3 linked regions of the Saccharomyces cerevisiae S288C genome follow. The gene in region 3 interacts genetically with the main gene of each other region. Each region holds a gene or a part of one and is shown on either strand. Other genes may lie near its edges.

Region 1 (5,593 bases), on a different chromosome or scaffold from region 3:
ACCTTCGTTGCGTGAGTAAGTAAGAGTTTGTGGTACTATTGTGGCGGCATCATCGTCCTGATCTGTGGAGTCCTTGTGCGGTTTATTGCTGTCTTTGAATTGTTGTTTTCCTTCAGACATCGTTAAATGAGCCTACCGTTTTGCCTCTATCCGTGATATCAGATAATGTTGCTATGTTCGGATGTACTTTGCTTTATTTATTAAGGGCTACTGTAACCTGCGTTATCCTGTTTCAATAATGCATCGTCCGTCTTAATTAATATTAGCCCGGCCATATTCTTCAGCATGAAAAGCTGTATTTACCCGGACTGCGCACCAACTTTTAAATATTAATCTCCGTTCGGTCTTTGCGCGAGTTATTATACTAGCGCCACGTATTAGTAATACTATAGCTATCTTGCCAGATAAGGGATCACAAGGAATTATATACCGTGGATCACAACTATCCATATCACTCTTCCCAATTTCGCGGAGAAATACTTATGCAGGTTTCCAAATCATTTCCGTAGCCAAAGCTGCCTGTTGGCCACTGTTTTGGCATCTCTCTACATTTTTTTTTTTCATTGATACTTTCAACCCAGACATTCTGTCACCTGGTGAAAAACGACACAAACTCCTTTGTAACAACAATTGCAATTTTAAGATATATGAGAATATTGATAAGGCTAGAAGGATGGTAGTAAGAAAAGTTGTTGTTGGTAATTTTTCAAAAAAGAGTTTCAAGAGCTGGGAAAAGAATTAAGGCAATGGGAAGCGAACCGTTTCAGAAAAAGAATTTGGGTCTGCAAATTAATTCGCAAGAAAGTGGAACAACCCGCTCAACATTTCATTCGCTAGAAGATCTAGGAGATGATGTAATTAATGAAAGCTGGGATCAGGTGAACCAAAAGAGAGCCAATATAGATCATGATGTCTTTCATGAGCACCCTGACTCTTCCCCATCATTGTCAGCACAGAAAGCAAAAACAAAAGAAGAGGAAGTTGCTGTAAAGTCATCGAACTCCCAGTCAAGAGACCCTTCTCCTGATACTCAAGCACATATTCCATATACTTATTTTTCCAAGGATCAAAGACTAATCATTTTTGGAATTATCATTTTTATAGGATTTTTGGGCCCAATGTCTGGAAACATATATATACCGGCTTTACCATTGCTGCAAAGGGAATATGATGTAAGTGCAACAACAATAAACGCTACAGTTTCTGTATTTATGGCTGTTTTTTCCGTTGGTCCATTGTTTTGGGGCGCACTGGCGGATTTTGGTGGAAGGAAATTCTTATATATGGTGTCGTTATCACTAATGTTAATTGTTAATATACTTTTGGCCGCTGTACCAGTCAATATTGCTGCCCTTTTTGTTTTAAGAATTTTCCAAGCTTTCGCTTCCAGCTCTGTGATTTCTCTGGGAGCTGGCACTGTAACAGACGTTGTTCCTCCAAAACACAGGGGAAAGGCCATAGCGTATTTCATGATGGGTCCAAACATGGGTCCTATTATAGCACCCATTGTTGCTGGGCTTATTTTAATGAAAGGAAATTACTGGAGATGGCTTTTTGGTTTCACTTCTATCATGACAGGAATAGCATTGATCTTGGTTACTGCTTTACTTCCAGAAACGCTACGTTGTATAGTTGGTAATGGAGACCCTAAATGGGGTGACAAAAAAGATGAACGTGAAAATAACGAATCTCCATTCTTCGAAGGTAATAAAATATCACATCGGCGTCTGTTCCCAGACATTGGTATCCGTAAACCAGTCAATAATGATGCTTTCTTCCAAGAAAATTTTCCAAAGCCGCCTAAAGCAGGTTTGACACTATATTGGAAAATGATTAAATGTCCTCCAATAATAATCACGTCCGTCAGTACTGCACTCCTGTTCTCCAGTTACTATGCGTTCAGCGTCACGTTTTCGTATTACCTTGAACATGACTACCGTTTTACTATGTTAGAAATTGGTGCTGCTTATGTCTGCCCAGGTGTAGCTATGTTACTAGGATCTCAATCTGGTGGGCACCTCTCAGATTATCTTCGTTCACGCTGGATCAAAAGTCATCCTAAAAAGAAATTCCCGGCAGAGTTTCGTTTATTACTGAACCTAATTGGAATTTTACTAACAATATGTGGCACAATAGGATACGGATGGGCAATCTTCTTTCATTATCATTTTGTGGTTCTTTTAGTTTTTTCCGCTCTCACTGCCTTTGGTATGACCTGGTGCAGCAACACATCAATGACATATTTAACTGAGTTATTCCCCAAAAGAGCTGCTGGAACTGTTGCTGTTAGTAGTTTCTTTCGAAATGTGGGCGCTGCCATTAGTTCCGCTATCATTTTACAGCTCTGTAACGCAATGGGAATTGGATGGTGTTTTACAGGGCTCGGTCTCTGCAGTTCAATTTCATTGATTGGTATATTATATCTTCTCATTTTTCAAAGAAAATATACTGCCAAAGAATTTTAAGAAATAGTTTATGTTTAGCTATAAAATTTAACTTTTAGAATTTTATTATATTATTTAACTTTCAAGAAAATTTTCTCATCACTCATCCCAAGGACTTCAAGAAATAGAACAATGCATCATAAGTTTATGAATTACGTGCATTTGGACCTTCAAAGAATAAAATCGAAGTTATAGTTAATTATATTAAATTAAGCCAAAAGTACATATATCTAAAAGGAAAAAGTATAAAAATTATGCAGGTCCAAGACATACTTAAGCCTTCAAAGAAGAAGCTCTTCTCTTTCTGATTTCGGCCTTTTCAGCCTTTCTTTCAGACAATCTCTTAGCCAACAATTGAGCGTATTCGGCAGCAGCTTCTCTTTGAGCTTGAGCGTTTCTGACCTTCAAAGCTCTTTGGTGTCTCTTTCTTTGCAATCTTTGAGGAGTAACCAATCTTTGGATCTTTGGAGCCTTGGTGTAAGTCTTTTCACCCTTGGTGACTTCTCTTCTGATGACGAAATCACGAACGTCATCTTCCTTGGACAAACCGAAGAACTTTCTGATGTTGTTAGCTCTCTTTGGACCCAATCTCTTTGGAACAGTAGTGTCAGTTAGACCTTCCAATTCTTGTTCACCCTTCTTGACAATGACCAAAGCCAAGACAGCCAAATCTGGACCAACAATGGCACCTCTGACGGACTTTCTCTTTCTTTCACCATCACGTCTTGGTCTGTAACAAGAAACGTTCTTGGTCAACAACAACTTGATTCTAGTTGGCAACAAAACACCTTGCTTCATTGGGAAACCTTGTTTGTCGTTACCACCAGAGATCTTGAAGACGTAGCCCTTGAATTCATCACCAACGGCTTCACCATCGACTTCTTGACCGATTCTCTTGTCGAAGAAAACACGAATACGGTGTTCATCATCAATTTCGAAGGTCTTTTGAGACCCGTTGACTGGGTAAGAAATGTTCAACTGTTATAAATAATACCATTTGTTAGTAAAGTTGTCCGAAGCCAATATCGACAAATTCCAACGAATCCCTGCTGTCCTTTCTTCCGTTACAGGTTTTTCTTATTTTCATTGATATTTCTAAACCCTTTTCGTAAATTCCTTTTTCATTCCTTAATTTGAACTTAGCGAGATATTTTCCTAAGTGTCGGTACGTGTATATTAGAGGGAATTATCTCGTTTAAACAACGTTGTTCTTGAGAATTTTTATTATAGTGCACTAATTTGTGGGTATACGTTTATCAAACAGTCAGAAACAGCCGGTTAGCGCGTGCTGATTCATTAGAATTCTAAGGATTTGGGTGATATTACATACCTTCATGATGGCTCAGTCGTCTATTCACACTGGATAGTTTCAATTAATGACTTCCAAATGTTTTGAAGGGCACACTATTCAAATTAAGATCACTTTTCATAAAGATGAATTTTTCTCCCATCAGGCATTCATTGACCGTGCCCTACAAACCAAGCCAGCCGAGATTGTATCAGCTCCACGCACATAGGATTTTCGCCTGCCCTTGGCCCATACCGAAAGAGTTTCCTAGGATGATGGGCCGGCATGAAGATAAGCGGCCTGTATGCCCGAGACACTGAAAAAAAACAGCAAAAAAATAAGATGTATGGAGTTCAAAGATGTATGGATGCAAGAAAAGAGGTTAATGGTGCAAACTGTAGAAAAAAAAGTAAGGAAATAATTTATTTTTAATAAAATTAACTGAAAAGATACATGTATATTTTTCTCAAATTAATCAATGCAATATGTGATATATTTGCTATCTGGCTTAATGAGATAATTTTTTACATAATTATGTTGAGAAGTTAACAGGGCAGTCTCTATTGTTTTGATCGATTGAGTGCACAAAAATTGGAAGGGGGCCGTGGAGCACTACCTGCAAATTGCTAGAAATTTGCGTCACTACATCTGAAAAATGTACGAGCGACATAATTGTCTATAGCCCTAATTTAGAAGACGTTTGCCTAAATGCGCCAACATACACTCTTAATTTTAAGCGAATGCTTTCTTGTAGTAAAAAGTAGCTAGAAAGCGATTCATTAATCTGGAGAGTTTGTCGAACTCGTGGATTTCAAAGTTGAACTAGCTACCGAGGAAGGAAAAACCACAATAGATGAAGACGGGCTTTTCGGAAATTTAGGCGGTCTTCCAATTGGCGGTTTCAGAAAGAATGTTTTGTTATTTACATAAGTGCTGCCACATCGGCCATTATGATATAAGTCGTCCATATCATTGTTCTTGAATCCCAAAAACTTTGAACGAGAAAGAGGGGAGGACATGTTGCTGGCGAGCATTTGATTGGGAGTGGCTTGTACATCCGTTTTCGGTGATGCGGTTCCTGAATACATTGCTGGCGACCTCTGGCAAGCGTCATTTGTGGCCTTCGGAATATTTAGCTTTAAATATGGCTTCCCTGAGAGCTTTCCTCTATTGCTGTTCAGTTGGTGCAGGTGATGGACCATCGCCTGCACTGGAGCTGGACCTTCCAAAGTATTTGATATAGCAACTGTCGGGTGTATCTTTTGCTTTGCTTCAAAGCTCTCGCTGTCACCCGTCCCATTAAATCCTTTTCCCATTGGGTTACTATTTGCCGGAATAACCTGTACAAATTGCGATTGAAAGGATGGAATATTGCCCACTAAACTTGCAGGCAATGAAGGCTTTGGCAAATTCTCGTAAGGCGACGGGTAAAAATTATGATAATTAGAGTGGTTAGATTCAGAAAGTAGTAAATGAGTATCCGGCCTAATCCTCTTGTTCATAAAATTCCTATGAATAGCCTCGTTTGCAACATGCTGTTGGTCTACGCTTTCTTTATAATCATTAGCATGAAAACTCCCACCAGAATTTAAACCGCCTTGCAACATTTGATAATCTGCACTATTTCTTGCACAGTCAGAATGATTGGATCCGCTACGTGATATTGCTCCGTGGCAATGCACCAATGGTGTACTTACACCAGCGTTCCCGGCGTCATTTGACGCCAACGGAGCGCTTAAATTCCCATTGTTTTGTACACTGGAGGAATCTTGACTCGAAACTGTACAACTCCCAGAATGGGAAGCTGGTTGCAACACGGTTGCTCTTCTTCGCCTGCGCTTCCTTTCATTCAGAACAACAC
Region 2 (5,717 bases), on a different chromosome or scaffold from region 3:
GTCTGCTTTCAAGATCAACGTGCTGAACATTTTTACTCTGCTTTCATAATACTCCCATTTTAGGCTTTGATTCAAAAGCCCACTCAATGCAATACCTAAAATGATATCCTTCAAAGATATGTTTAATGAATATGCAGCCACAGCTTTGAATTCAGATTGACCTTGTGTTGCATTAAGTCAGACACCTCTAGATTTGTGTGGCTGCTCTCAAGAAAGGATGTTGAAGAAGATTTATTTACGGAAGAAATAACTGTATACGGCATTTTATTCTTTCTTAAACGAGCAAATTAAAGAATAGACGGATAGAGACTGGAGCTTTAGCATGTGTTCCGAGAAGTCCTTGACACGCGCCACGGTTGTTATGCCGCACACTACAATGATGTGTTTGAAAAAGTATATTAATGCCTATTGTCAAGATGCAATTCATCAATTCCAGCATTGAGTGATTCTTCTCTGGTGCGGTAAAACATAAATTTTAAATCTAGTACTCAACCACCACTGAACAACTATTAATCATCGTGGAAATTATTATGACGGAAATTGAATTTGGGCAACCCCTTCCCAGCAATCTAGACTATGCTGTTTCTTTTGGCATTCCTACATGGGATTCGGCAATAGGCTATGCGGAAAAGGTGCCAGAGGTAATAGGCAAAATGGCTACAGGATATCCGAGGTACTTTCCTCAACCCCCCGTCCAGAGGCTTTGTGCTTACTTTGTTAAGAAATTTGGGCGAGGTTCAGAAAACTGTCGTCCTTTTCCATCCGTTAACCTGGGTTTAAAGTGTTTCGAGTACGTAAAATCTGTCTCAGGACCTGAAAGTAAAGCTCACCTTGAAGTGGAAACAGTTACGATTAAAAACCGTGGGGCAAAAACGTCGAAAGAACCGGCGGAATTGGTGCTAACCATTGCTGCTGTCCTTGCATCGGAGGAAGAGTTCGAGACTGTGAAAGAGTATTGGAAATTAAGAGGTGAATGTGTATCTAGTCGATTGGCGTTGTCTGTCAACCAACTTCTTGACTGCGCTAATCATGGCTCAGAGCAGGTATTGCGTGAGCTAGAGGCTGGTGTTTTTGCAGCAAAGAAGGGGGAGGAGAAAGCAAAGAACCTGATAAAGGGAAGGATAGTTGAGAATCGCTTCAGGCCCTTTGGTTTGGAGAAGAAAACCCCGAATTGGGAGGGACTCAACCTCAACCCAAATGAAGACGTTTATCTTGTATCAAGTGGCATGTCTGCAATATCTACGGCTCGTAATTTACTCACCTTTTGGGAGGAGAAGAAGAATTCAGGAGATTCATTAAACAAGACCACCTCTGACCAAAAGAAAAAGCCATTATTATGTGACACTGTTGGCATCTTCGGCTTCCCTTTCAAAGATACGCAGGTCATTATGACTAAATTTGGAAAATGTAAATTTTTTGGATTTGGAAATTCTAGAGACGTTGTCGAATTACAAAAGTTTTTAGAAACAAGCAAACAACGCATTCTTGCCGTTTTCGTCGAGACACCTTCAAATCCTCTGCTGAATATGCCGGATTTGAAAAAATTGAGGAGTTTGGCCGACCAGTATGGCTTTTTTATTGTAATTGATGATACTATTGGGGGCCTTAACGTTGACATCTTGCCCTATGCTGATATAGTCAGCACGTCCCTGACTAAGCTTTTCAATGGTGCTAGTAATGTAATGGGCGGCTCTGTCGTTTTAAATCCGAAATCATCTCTGTATCCATATGCTCGTGAGTACTTCAGGAGCGCTAATTTCGAGGATTTGTTATGGTGTGAAGATGCGATAGTTTTAGAACGTAATTCCAGGGATTTTGAAGATAGAACTTTACGTGCTAATGCAAACACAGGAATATTGTTGAATGATTTGCTTTTACCCGAGGAGGGGAAAATATGCAAAAAGATTTATTATCCAACTGTTACTTCTAAGGAGACCTTTGAGAACTACGAAAGTGTACGTAATGAACGTGGTGGCTATGGATGCTTGTTCTCTGTAGCCTTTTTCAATGAGGGCGATGCAAAAGCATTCTATGACTCTTTAAAGGTATTCAAGGGACCTTCTAATGGTACTAACTTTACCTTAGCATGTCCATATGTCCATCTGGCGCACCACTCAGAATTAGAAGAAGTTTCCAAGTTTGGGGCCGACCCCAACATTATTAGAGTAAGCGTAGGTTTAGAAGATATCCAGTGGTTATTGAAAGTTTTTTCAAGTGCTTTAGATGTTGTGAAAAGCAGAGGCTCCAAACACTCATGAAGCAGATCATGAGTAGAATATCAAAAATCAAGAATTCTTTATAATCTTTATAGAATATTGTTTATAAAAGTTTTTTTCCATTCTAGCATATAATTTTTTTGGAGGAAGTCTTTTCTGGAACCTTCACATGGATCTTAATTAATGAAAGTAGACAGAGCTCATAAGATCACTAGTTGTTTATAAACTGAAGATGTTCCTTCTTATTGACTTCAACATTATATCGCTCTGAATTAGTTGATCTGTAACTTCAGAGTTTCTTTACCAGAATAAAAGCGTCACAGTTTTTCTTTAGTTTATATGTACACAGGTTGGGGTTTACTATAAACTATAAAAAAGAAGTGTTGTCGCCGCTATTTTAAGGTTTATACACAATTTTAACCAAAAAAAAGAATAAGTTGAGCAACGTTGGAACTGCCTCTGCAACGAATTCCGGCTATATACAACCTGCATCTTTGAAATTCAAATATCCAAAGTTAATGAAGAAGGATAATAATTTTCATCATTCAAAAACTTTAGATCTTCCACGGGCCTTTCCGCTTGTGGAGTAATCCTGAACGCATGTCTGTGAATTGGTTCTTCCCAATCAATCACTGCTGAATGTTGAACTCTGCGGTTATCCCAAATGACGACGGAATGAGGTTCCCATTTGGCTCTTAACTGTAAATCATGGCTGCTCTCCACTAGATTGTACAAGAAATTCAAAAGTGATTCAGATTCTTGTCTTTTCAATTCGACTATTTTCCTAGAAAATGCACGATTGACATACAAGCATTTCTTTTTCAAGACAGGATGAACTCTGACCAGTGGATGAATATGCGTGACAGGTGCTCTTCTTTTTATGCCGCCCTGGCGCTGTGAATTCTCTGCCTGTTCCTTTGAGCTATGGATGACATGAAGCGTGCTCAAGAAATCTTGCAAAGGCTTCGACAACCTGTCGAAAGCCTCGATCGTATCCGCAAATAACGTATCTCCACCACCATCAGGACCTTCAACAACACTAAAGAAAGTATAAGAAGGTGGCTGTAACTCGTAAGAGACGTCTGTGTGCCAGCCACCAGATGATGTCGAGTCATCAAAAACTCTTGCAAATTCTTCCGCATCAGGTCTTCGGAAAGTGATATGCAGCTCAGGATTGTTTTGAGGGTGGCCACTAGTTTGATGAATGTGCAACTTGCCAAAATGTCTTCCGTATTCAGTCACATAATCGGGTCCCTCGTCAGCAAAATTCTGATTTCTAAAGACAACTACTCCCTTTTGGGCGACAAGCAAAGCGAGTTCATCTTTTGCAGCATCAGAAAGATCAGTTAGCTGGATCCCATTGATCTCGAGACCTAATTTCGGGGTGATCTTCTTCACCTTTAGTTGACCAACGTTTTCTTTTGCAAAAAGGTTTGAAAAGTTACCGTCAGCTCTCAAAGCAGGATCATGGTATTCGTGAAATTCCAGCGGGCCATACTTTTCAGTAGGATCCCATGTAGGCAAATAATCTGGATACTTCGATTTCTCTCTATAAGATTTACGGATTTTCAATAAACCAGATGGAGAGACCTCATCTTGGCCATCATAAAAATGGGTATCAAAATTCCCGTAACCTTGCTTGGAGGTATAATTCAGGTTTTTCAACCCATTTGTAATGATTTTGACTGGTAAATCGGTAGATGGAAGAGGGATTGCTGTTTGAGCTGCTGCAGGAGACATATTTTAACTGGGTTACTGTGCTATGTTTGTACAAGTATGAAAGGGCCGATTATACAGCAATAGTACACCTTTTTATATGTTTCTGTCATCAAGAACTGTTACTGACTCCTTAACTTTTCCAGCATTCTTGTTGTATTGCCTACATACCTTCTTTATGTTAGTAGTATGATAAATAAACTCCATGTGCCCTGTGGCGCCAAATAAGAAATCGACTCAAGCCACATTGAGGCTTTTGTCATCATTCCCCTATATACTAATATAGCACCTTTCCAAGGGCCAAGAGCTCGTCCAATGAGACGCATGAGTTGGGTATTTTAAGCTGCACAGTAGACTATATAGATAAAGCTAACTAGTATGTAAAAAACGTTACATGCTATGGCGCTCTTAGAAAAAACGCATAATATAAGCTTCAAGTCAGTTTAAGCTATAGTTCGCACGGATATCTTCAAGAAGACCGATTTGTTGTGGCTGCCATCCCAGCTCTTTTCTGGTACCTTCGCTTGAAACTGGGCCATCTCTAGTGACAAAACAAGTGAGGAAGCCAAAATGACTTTCCGCGTCATCAACAGGGATAGAGGCCACGGGAACATTCAAAATTTCTCCAATCACACGCGCAATATCTTTGAATGGTATACCTTGTTCACCAACGCAATGATACACTTGTCCTGTTTTTCCTTTCTCTAAAACAAGTCTGAACAGAGGAGCCGTATCCAAACGATGTACAGCCGCCCAAGCGTTTGTGCCTTGTCCGACATAGCCAGATTTTCCGGCAGCTTTGGCAATATTCATTAATATTGGTACAAAAGCCTTGTCCCCCTTGCCATGAACCGAGAATGGGAGTCTGACAATTCTTGCTGAAACACCTTTGTCTTTGTAACTCAAGGCAACCTGTTCAGTGACAGCACGCAAAATTTTGGAATCTTCATCAATACCATCCTGTTCGTTAGCAACTTTGTTTGGTCGCAAAGAAAGTGTACCATTCGTATATAAGAAAGGCTTGTTAGAACCTTTAAGTGACTCTAGCATAGCTACAGTGGCCTGACGGTCAATTTCGCAGCACTGTTCAAAATTTTTAAAATCATGCACAAATCCTAAATGAATAACGCCATCAGATTCAGTGGCACCTTTTTTCAAAATTTCCAGATCCTTGAGATCACCGCGAAGGATTTTTGCAGCAGGATCAATCGACTTAATCTTTGCAGCAGCCTCGTCTGACCTTGCCAAGCCAACAACTTCATGACCCGAGGATATTAGTTCAGATAATACGGCAGAACCAATGAAGCCAGAAGCACCAGTTATAAATACTTTCATTTTTTGATCTCTTTTTTATTTTCTTTTGTAAAAGTTGAGTTATCACGCCTTAGCGCTTATGAATACAAGAGTGATTGTAAGCATAGTTGATAGAAGCGGGAGCCGTTATTTATACGTTAGTTGAGTACTTGAGGGTCTTCATCGCCTACTTTTTTTCCTTAATATCCTTGTGTTAGTAATCATATCTTCAGGAAAGCCAAGAACTAATGGCAAATTAAATCCGCGGCTTTCCCTTTAAACTTTTTCCAGCACAATCTATTATGTTGAGAAGTTCCGCTAATTTCCGCATTGGAAAAAGAATCTCATCTGCAAAAACGATGGTTTCTTTCTTCCACGGAAGACTTATGTCCGTCCTCTCTATTTTCATATTGTTCTTTCTCTCTCTTTTTGCATAACGTCACAATACCCTAGTGCTACCGTCATTGGCGCAGCATAAGAGTATTGCATTTC
Region 3 (7,439 bases):
TAGTAGTATATTATATAATGTAACAAAAGAAGAGACTGAAGTTTTATTATGCATTGTAGCGCCTGTAATCTTTAGTAACGGATTCTTGTATTTTTTTGTAAACAGCCAAGAAAAAAGTAGAGATGGGCTTGTTAACGAAAGTTGCTACATCTAGACAATTCTCTACAACGAGATGCGTTGCAAAGAAGCTCAACAAGTACTCGTATATCATCACTGAACCTAAGGGCCAAGGTGCGTCCCAGGCCATGCTTTATGCCACCGGTTTCAAGAAGGAAGATTTCAAGAAGCCTCAAGTCGGGGTTGGTTCCTGTTGGTGGTCCGGTAACCCATGTAACATGCATCTATTGGACTTGAATAACAGATGTTCTCAATCCATTGAAAAAGCGGGTTTGAAAGCTATGCAGTTCAACACCATCGGTGTTTCAGACGGTATCTCTATGGGTACTAAAGGTATGAGATACTCGTTACAAAGTAGAGAAATCATTGCAGACTCCTTTGAAACCATCATGATGGCACAACACTACGATGCTAACATCGCCATCCCATCATGTGACAAAAACATGCCCGGTGTCATGATGGCCATGGGTAGACATAACAGACCTTCCATCATGGTATATGGTGGTACTATCTTGCCCGGTCATCCAACATGTGGTTCTTCGAAGATCTCTAAAAACATCGATATCGTCTCTGCGTTCCAATCCTACGGTGAATATATTTCCAAGCAATTCACTGAAGAAGAAAGAGAAGATGTTGTGGAACATGCATGCCCAGGTCCTGGTTCTTGTGGTGGTATGTATACTGCCAACACAATGGCTTCTGCCGCTGAAGTGCTAGGTTTGACCATTCCAAACTCCTCTTCCTTCCCAGCCGTTTCCAAGGAGAAGTTAGCTGAGTGTGACAACATTGGTGAATACATCAAGAAGACAATGGAATTGGGTATTTTACCTCGTGATATCCTCACAAAAGAGGCTTTTGAAAACGCCATTACTTATGTCGTTGCAACCGGTGGGTCCACTAATGCTGTTTTGCATTTGGTGGCTGTTGCTCACTCTGCGGGTGTCAAGTTGTCACCAGATGATTTCCAAAGAATCAGTGATACTACACCATTGATCGGTGACTTCAAACCTTCTGGTAAATACGTCATGGCCGATTTGATTAACGTTGGTGGTACCCAATCTGTGATTAAGTATCTATATGAAAACAACATGTTGCACGGTAACACAATGACTGTTACCGGTGACACTTTGGCAGAACGTGCAAAGAAAGCACCAAGCCTACCTGAAGGACAAGAGATTATTAAGCCACTCTCCCACCCAATCAAGGCCAACGGTCACTTGCAAATTCTGTACGGTTCATTGGCACCAGGTGGAGCTGTGGGTAAAATTACCGGTAAGGAAGGTACTTACTTCAAGGGTAGAGCACGTGTGTTCGAAGAGGAAGGTGCCTTTATTGAAGCCTTGGAAAGAGGTGAAATCAAGAAGGGTGAAAAAACCGTTGTTGTTATCAGATATGAAGGTCCAAGAGGTGCACCAGGTATGCCTGAAATGCTAAAGCCTTCCTCTGCTCTGATGGGTTACGGTTTGGGTAAAGATGTTGCATTGTTGACTGATGGTAGATTCTCTGGTGGTTCTCACGGGTTCTTAATCGGCCACATTGTTCCCGAAGCCGCTGAAGGTGGTCCTATCGGGTTGGTCAGAGACGGCGATGAGATTATCATTGATGCTGATAATAACAAGATTGACCTATTAGTCTCTGATAAGGAAATGGCTCAACGTAAACAAAGTTGGGTTGCACCTCCACCTCGTTACACAAGAGGTACTCTATCCAAGTATGCTAAGTTGGTTTCCAACGCTTCCAACGGTTGTGTTTTAGATGCTTGATGCATTATAGGCCCCAATCGATGAATATATATATAGAGATTCTCCTTTTCCATCATCTTTTTTGTTCGCAATCTTTTCATATATATATATATATAAATATTTATTATAGTCCATTGAATGGATAAACATTTATTTAAAAAAAAACAACGATCAGTATTTTTTTATTTGAAAAGTCGCCTTAATTATAATCTACGAAATTAACTCTGCTTTGCTGCCACTAAAGCCTTCTGTTTTAGTTTTCTACTAGCATACTTGCCAACAAATGGTAACAGTGCCGTATTCAAGGCAATGAGTGCGACTAAAATACCATAATTCCGACCCATCTTGCGTCTTGTCACGTCAAAAAAAATAACCCTGTAGATATCGATGACGTTGTGAACGGGCATCATGTACCCATATCTATAAACATTATTGTTTAGCGCTAATGGGAAGAAAGAAGGTGCAATATTGAGAATGACAAATGATAGGATCCAGAACCCGAGATACTGGGGTCCTAACGTAATAACAAGCATAACCGCATTTTCGTTAGCTCCTCCCGCAGCAAGCATGAAGAGCCACGTAGACATCCAATATACGACGAAGCCACCTCTACCAAAGGACTTGGTAAAATCGACTTGAAAGATGGCGGTTGTTGTGCAGAAGAACAAAGACGCAAAGAAAAAGGTGAACCATGACATAGCGATACGGTAAATTAAACCGTTGGCTGGTCTTAGCACTTTTGCCATTTCTACGTGTAATGGGCCGTACAATAGAAATTGGAAAAAAGTTAGCAGTAAACAGTAAACAACACCGATTTGTGTGGGTGCCAGTAGAATACGGTCTGTGAATGGTCTGTGGTCATAGTATTCGTAGTTATATTTACCTGCTGCAGCGATATACCTTGCATTGTTAGTTAGTGCATAACGATATACCTGGGTTATGTTTGTCAATAACGGCGGCAGATAATTTAGTGTGTAGAATGTATGGTAGTACTCTTCAATGGTCTGAGCAACCGGTAAAATCGTTGATTTTAGGTTTGTCGGGTCTCTACCAGTTTCATATACCACCTGATTAAACAGCGTAGAATTGAATAGTGGTGCGGTATCGTTGATTAGTGATTCAAATAGAGTCTCCGTGGCGTTTGGCTTGATATTAATGGCAAACCAGTATTTTTCGTCGTAAACCAAATCGACAACCTTGTCATTGACTTGCTGTGGCGTATTTACGTCGAACTTGGCCTGGAAGGTAGGACTGTTATAAATATCCCAATCACATGGTATTTTATTGATAAAAGTAGGCAAAGCATACGATATGGAGGGCACTACCATGGAACTGTTATTATCCAAAATTACCACAGGGGGTTCCTGGATAACAACCAGAAGCTTAACTTTGTGTAGATACTTGCTGGTGTCGTAAAGAGCCCCCCAGAACAACACAAACATTGTAAAGCAAATTATGGCCAGTAAGCAATTTGTGAAAACAAACTTTAAAAGAACTTTCTTCCTTTGACCCTGTAGATTAGGAGAAAAAAATGAGCCACTCGAAGGAGGAAACGCTTTCTTATCCTCGGAATTTGGCTCAGGGTCCTTCGAAGAATCCGTTGTTTGACCATCCATGTCTGGCACACCTTGTGAGACAGCATCACCGACCACGCTGGAAAGGTCATGTATATCGTTGCGTCTGCAATATTCCTCGTCCGCTTCCATATTATTATATGCTGTTGGTTCTATATCATCTAGAGATGAAGTCATAACTATACTTACTTACGGCTGGATTGAGTTGTGTTTTGTACGCCTATGGTCAACAACAAATTTTGCAGTTTTTCGGTTGCAAATAATTTGAATAGGCAATGGGGACTATATTTATTGTCCTACTACGAAGGTTTCAGAGAAGGAACGGCGCAGGCGCACGAGGGCCGGCTGCACAGTATATATGAGCGACGATCTCAAGAACGATATAGGGTTTGACTATCTAACCTACACGCCTGGTTACCAAGTAAAAAGTCCTTTTCTCCCAGAACGGTGCTATTACATATTTATGGATTGCTTACTTGGCAGCTCCTTCTGCAGCAGGCTTTTTCTTCTTCTTAGCATCGATGGTTTCCACTTTGACGTCCTTTAGGCCTTTTTCTTCCAGCAAGGAATGTATGTAAGTTTCCACTTCATCCATCACGTCACCTTGAATGACAACTTCTTCTTTTTTCTCTGCATTTTTCGAGACTGAGCACCCTGTGGCGAACCTAGACGCAAATGTCTTGGCTAGCTTTTTCATGTCGATGTCGAAAACTTCCAGCCCAGAGATAGCGACGATAAACTTTCTCTTGGTCCTAGCTTCTCTTTTAATGATCACTTTCGATGACAGCTTCTTAGCTAATTCTCTTTGTTCCCTGTTTTCCTGTTTTTTTTGAATTTTCAGCAAGTCCTTTTCCAACTTTTCCTCTCTAGCTTCGCCAATACTGGATTCAGCCAGTTTGTTGGTCACGGCTTCCACCTCTTGCGTATTATCGTCAGTACCGTATAGCTTTGCATAAAGGTCTGCGTGGTTTTCAGATAACCAAACTTTACAACGCTTTAATTTTCCTGAAAACTCGCAGTACTCTGGTGGGTAGGAGCAAATTCCACAATAGATGACTTCTCTTAACATTTTATGCAATATGCTTTTCTTTAGTTTAGCTCTTGAACTGTTTCCTTGGGGTGATTTTATCCAGTAGGAATTAATAATTTTTTCACTCACACATCACATCAAGTATCTTTTTCCTTTTTTTTTTCAGCTTTTTTCTCTTTTGGTGGTGCGCTTTTGCATTTTTTTTTTCATATTTACACATTCATTATATGAGTAGATTTATAGAATTGATGTACATGGTGCAAGTTCACGTCAGTCAGTTGTTCTTTTTGTTGGAAACTGTGGGTTGCGTCGGTATCTTAATATCAGTAATAAATTGACCCAGTAGCCACACATTGGTGACGAAAAATAACACGCTTGCAATAAATAGTCCAGGATAGAATACATTCTTGCCTTCGAATTCCAAATAGTAACCTTGGCTTAACCAAATTCCCTGCGTTCCTACCCAAAGCGTGGCCATTAAAAGCCCCTTCTTCCAACCAATGTGCGTTCTTGAGAGGTAAAATGGTAGAAAGATCAGGTACCAAACAAAATATTGCGATGTGCACACTTTATTATATGTCACAAATGCGAACGTCTGCACAAATAAAACCCTCAATAGGTTATCGAATGTGGGATTCCACCATTCAAGACATCCAGTTACTAAAACAAGCAGCAATTGAGGCACAAATGCGTACCTTGAGAGATTGGACTCACCATTTTCCTTATTTGCAGAATCTAAATACAATAGCATGTTCCACACTGAAAAATTGTGTCTGTGATCCGTTCTGTATAAGTGGTACAAGTATGCCTGATCCAGAAACTCGTATCCGTATATCTTGTACATTGCCCAACCACATCCAAGCAAAGTTGTTAGAGTACTCAAACCGATATTGAGTAGCGATGTAAGTTGTGTTCGTGGACCCTGGTTTCTTTTATTGTAGTATATAAAAATTGCTATTGGGATACAATATATGATTGGATATATTTTGAAATGGATAGAAAGACCATATAAGATTCCAGCTAGGGTGTATCTACTCTTTTGTAGAAAAAAAAGCGTGAACATGATCAAACAGCAAAGCACGCTTTCAGCGTTTCCCCTTGTACTGATGGTGATAACCATCGGATTCAATAGCCAAATGCTTTCCAATATTAAAGCTCTTTTTCTGGAGATGGCCTGGTTCAAAAGCTTCATTATAATGAGCCCAGTAACCAAATCGAAAATAACAAATATGACCTTCCCCAAATGAAACCATCCAAAATAATGATTAGGCACTAGCAGCCAACTTAGTAGCGGTGTGTAACGATATGTATCCCTTGCATAAGGTGATTTGCCTTCGTATACATATTTAGCAGCATCATGAAACACAAAATAGTCGATATCAGTGTACCTCACTTTGAAATTAGCGTCCTGGTAAATGCCAAAAAGAAAAAATCCGACTCTTACCAAGAATGACAGTACAGTCAAGCCCCATTCTTCGCCAGTCATCTTTCAACTTTATCACCTTTTACCTTGCTTGTCAGTTGTTGACTTTTTTATGTATATATATTGTGTTTTTTTTTGTCAAGTTCTTACCAACTATTAAAGTTTCTTTTATTATTATCGGAGCCTGTAAAAGAGCTCCACATGTTTCGGTTTACCTCTTGAAAATTGATTGCGAACATAACGAGTCAAGCATGGCAGCAGGTGGTGAACTTAGTTATGAAGAGTTGCTGGATCACATTCTGAATAACAAGCCTATACCTAATATTGTGGAGGTGCCCAATGTTACGCTGGATGAGGGTTTAGCTAGTACTCCTTCATTGAGGCCAAGACCTAGGCCTTGGGAAGGTCAGCTGCAGCATCAATCTCATCAAGGATCATTAGACAAACCCAATATATCTCTGGACATTGATCAAGAAAGCCTAGAAGGCATGACCTCATTAACAAGGCTGTCTGAATGTTACGATATACAGTCTAAGTTACAGATTAATGACAGTGACAACGATAATGATGACAATAACAATGATAACAATAAAGGCGATGGCAATGATGACGACAATAATACAGTAACAGCAAATCCAACAGCTAGGTAAATTATTCACCCAACAGGTATGTAAAAAAATGCATTTATATATTTATATATAGTACTATTATCTTCCCTTTTCTACTTAAATTTTATATCGCTCATTCATACTTAATCATAGACCTGCCCTTTTTGCGTTTAAAAGAATACAAAGGCACATGCATCTCCTTCTTTTGTCTGCATAATGTTTCTAACAAAGTTAGTGCGATATCTGTCGTTTTATCCTTTCCTTTTTATTAATTTCACAGTCTGATCTTTTATTGTGATTAGATAAGCGGCGTTGGTTTTAATTTCACGCTAGTTAAGTCAAAGCAGAATAGAGAATAGCTCTACAAGAAAAAGGACAAATAAGGTAACTGTGATAGCATATAAAGGCGTATGAGTGAAACACGAGAATCTAATGAAAGTACAGTTTCGTCTTTACAAACCAAACTTTTGCTCAATGACGGAATATCCGAAAACAACAAGAAAAATGTTATACTGCTGAATCAAATAGTGCCGTTTATTCTGAATACTTCACATTATATGACGGATCTAATGTATGTCTTGTATTATCTGGCTCAAAAGCAGGAAGACGAAGTATTAAACCATTCTGGCACATTTATTTCACACAAAAAAGAACTCCTTGCACTAAAGAGTGATATTTGTGAACTAATTTACGATTTAAGGACAGGATTCCGCTTATTATTGGATAGTTGTGAGTTAGATCACTTTGAAACTCCTGGAAAATGCCGGCATTTGATCGAGAAGGTTCTAGTCACCTCCATTTATGGAGTGAACAGGTATATTTTCCAGGAATTAAACAGATTAAATGTCGATTTTAAAGATGAATTTATATTACAAATGCAAAATTGTTTATCAGGATTCGTTAATCTCTACAAATTTTTGAACAAGATCCCTATGAGTAAACAAC

Evidence for each region. A genetic interaction does not mean that the proteins touch.
Region 1: mutations in TMA22 (region 3) and RPS6B together harm fitness more than expected from each alone (negative genetic interaction), as found in Saccharomyces cerevisiae (2 studies listed by BioGRID).
Region 2: mutations in TMA22 (region 3) and JLP1 together harm fitness more than expected from each alone (negative genetic interaction), as found in Saccharomyces cerevisiae (2 studies listed by BioGRID).

The regions. Positions count from the first base shown.
Region 1 is NC_001134.8:588,995-594,587, forward strand, and holds RPS6B (40S ribosomal protein eS6 RPS6B), read right to left. Parts: upstream 3,781-5,593; coding exon 3,775-3,780; intron 3,423-3,774; coding exon 2,718-3,422; downstream 1-2,717. Other genes in the region: FZO1 (mitofusin), read right to left, coding at 1-120; DTR1 (Dtr1p), read left to right, coding at 747-2,465; SMP1 (Smp1p), read right to left, coding at 4,512-5,593.
Region 2 is NC_001144.5:23,039-28,755, forward strand, and holds JLP1 (sulfonate dioxygenase), read right to left. Parts: upstream 3,957-5,717; coding exon 2,718-3,956; downstream 1-2,717. Other genes in the region: HSU1 (cystathionine gamma-synthase), read left to right, coding at 531-2,258; YLL056C (uncharacterized protein), read right to left, coding at 4,371-5,267. UniProt on the Saccharomyces cerevisiae protein: Acts as an alpha-ketoglutarate-dependent dioxygenase active on sulfonates. Although taurine is a poor substrate, a variety of other sulfonates are utilized, with the best natural substrates being isethionate and taurocholate.
Region 3 is NC_001142.9:458,892-466,330, reverse strand, and holds TMA22 (Tma22p), read right to left. Parts: upstream 4,503-7,439; coding exon 3,906-4,502; downstream 1-3,905. Other genes in the region: dihydroxy-acid dehydratase ILV3, read left to right, coding at 123-1,880; YJR015W (uncharacterized protein), read right to left, coding at 2,078-3,610; GPI14 (glycosylphosphatidylinositol-alpha 1,4 mannosyltransferase I), read right to left, coding at 4,738-5,949; YJR012C (uncharacterized protein), read left to right, coding at 6,138-6,536; CAL4 (Cal4p), read left to right, coding at 6,905-7,439.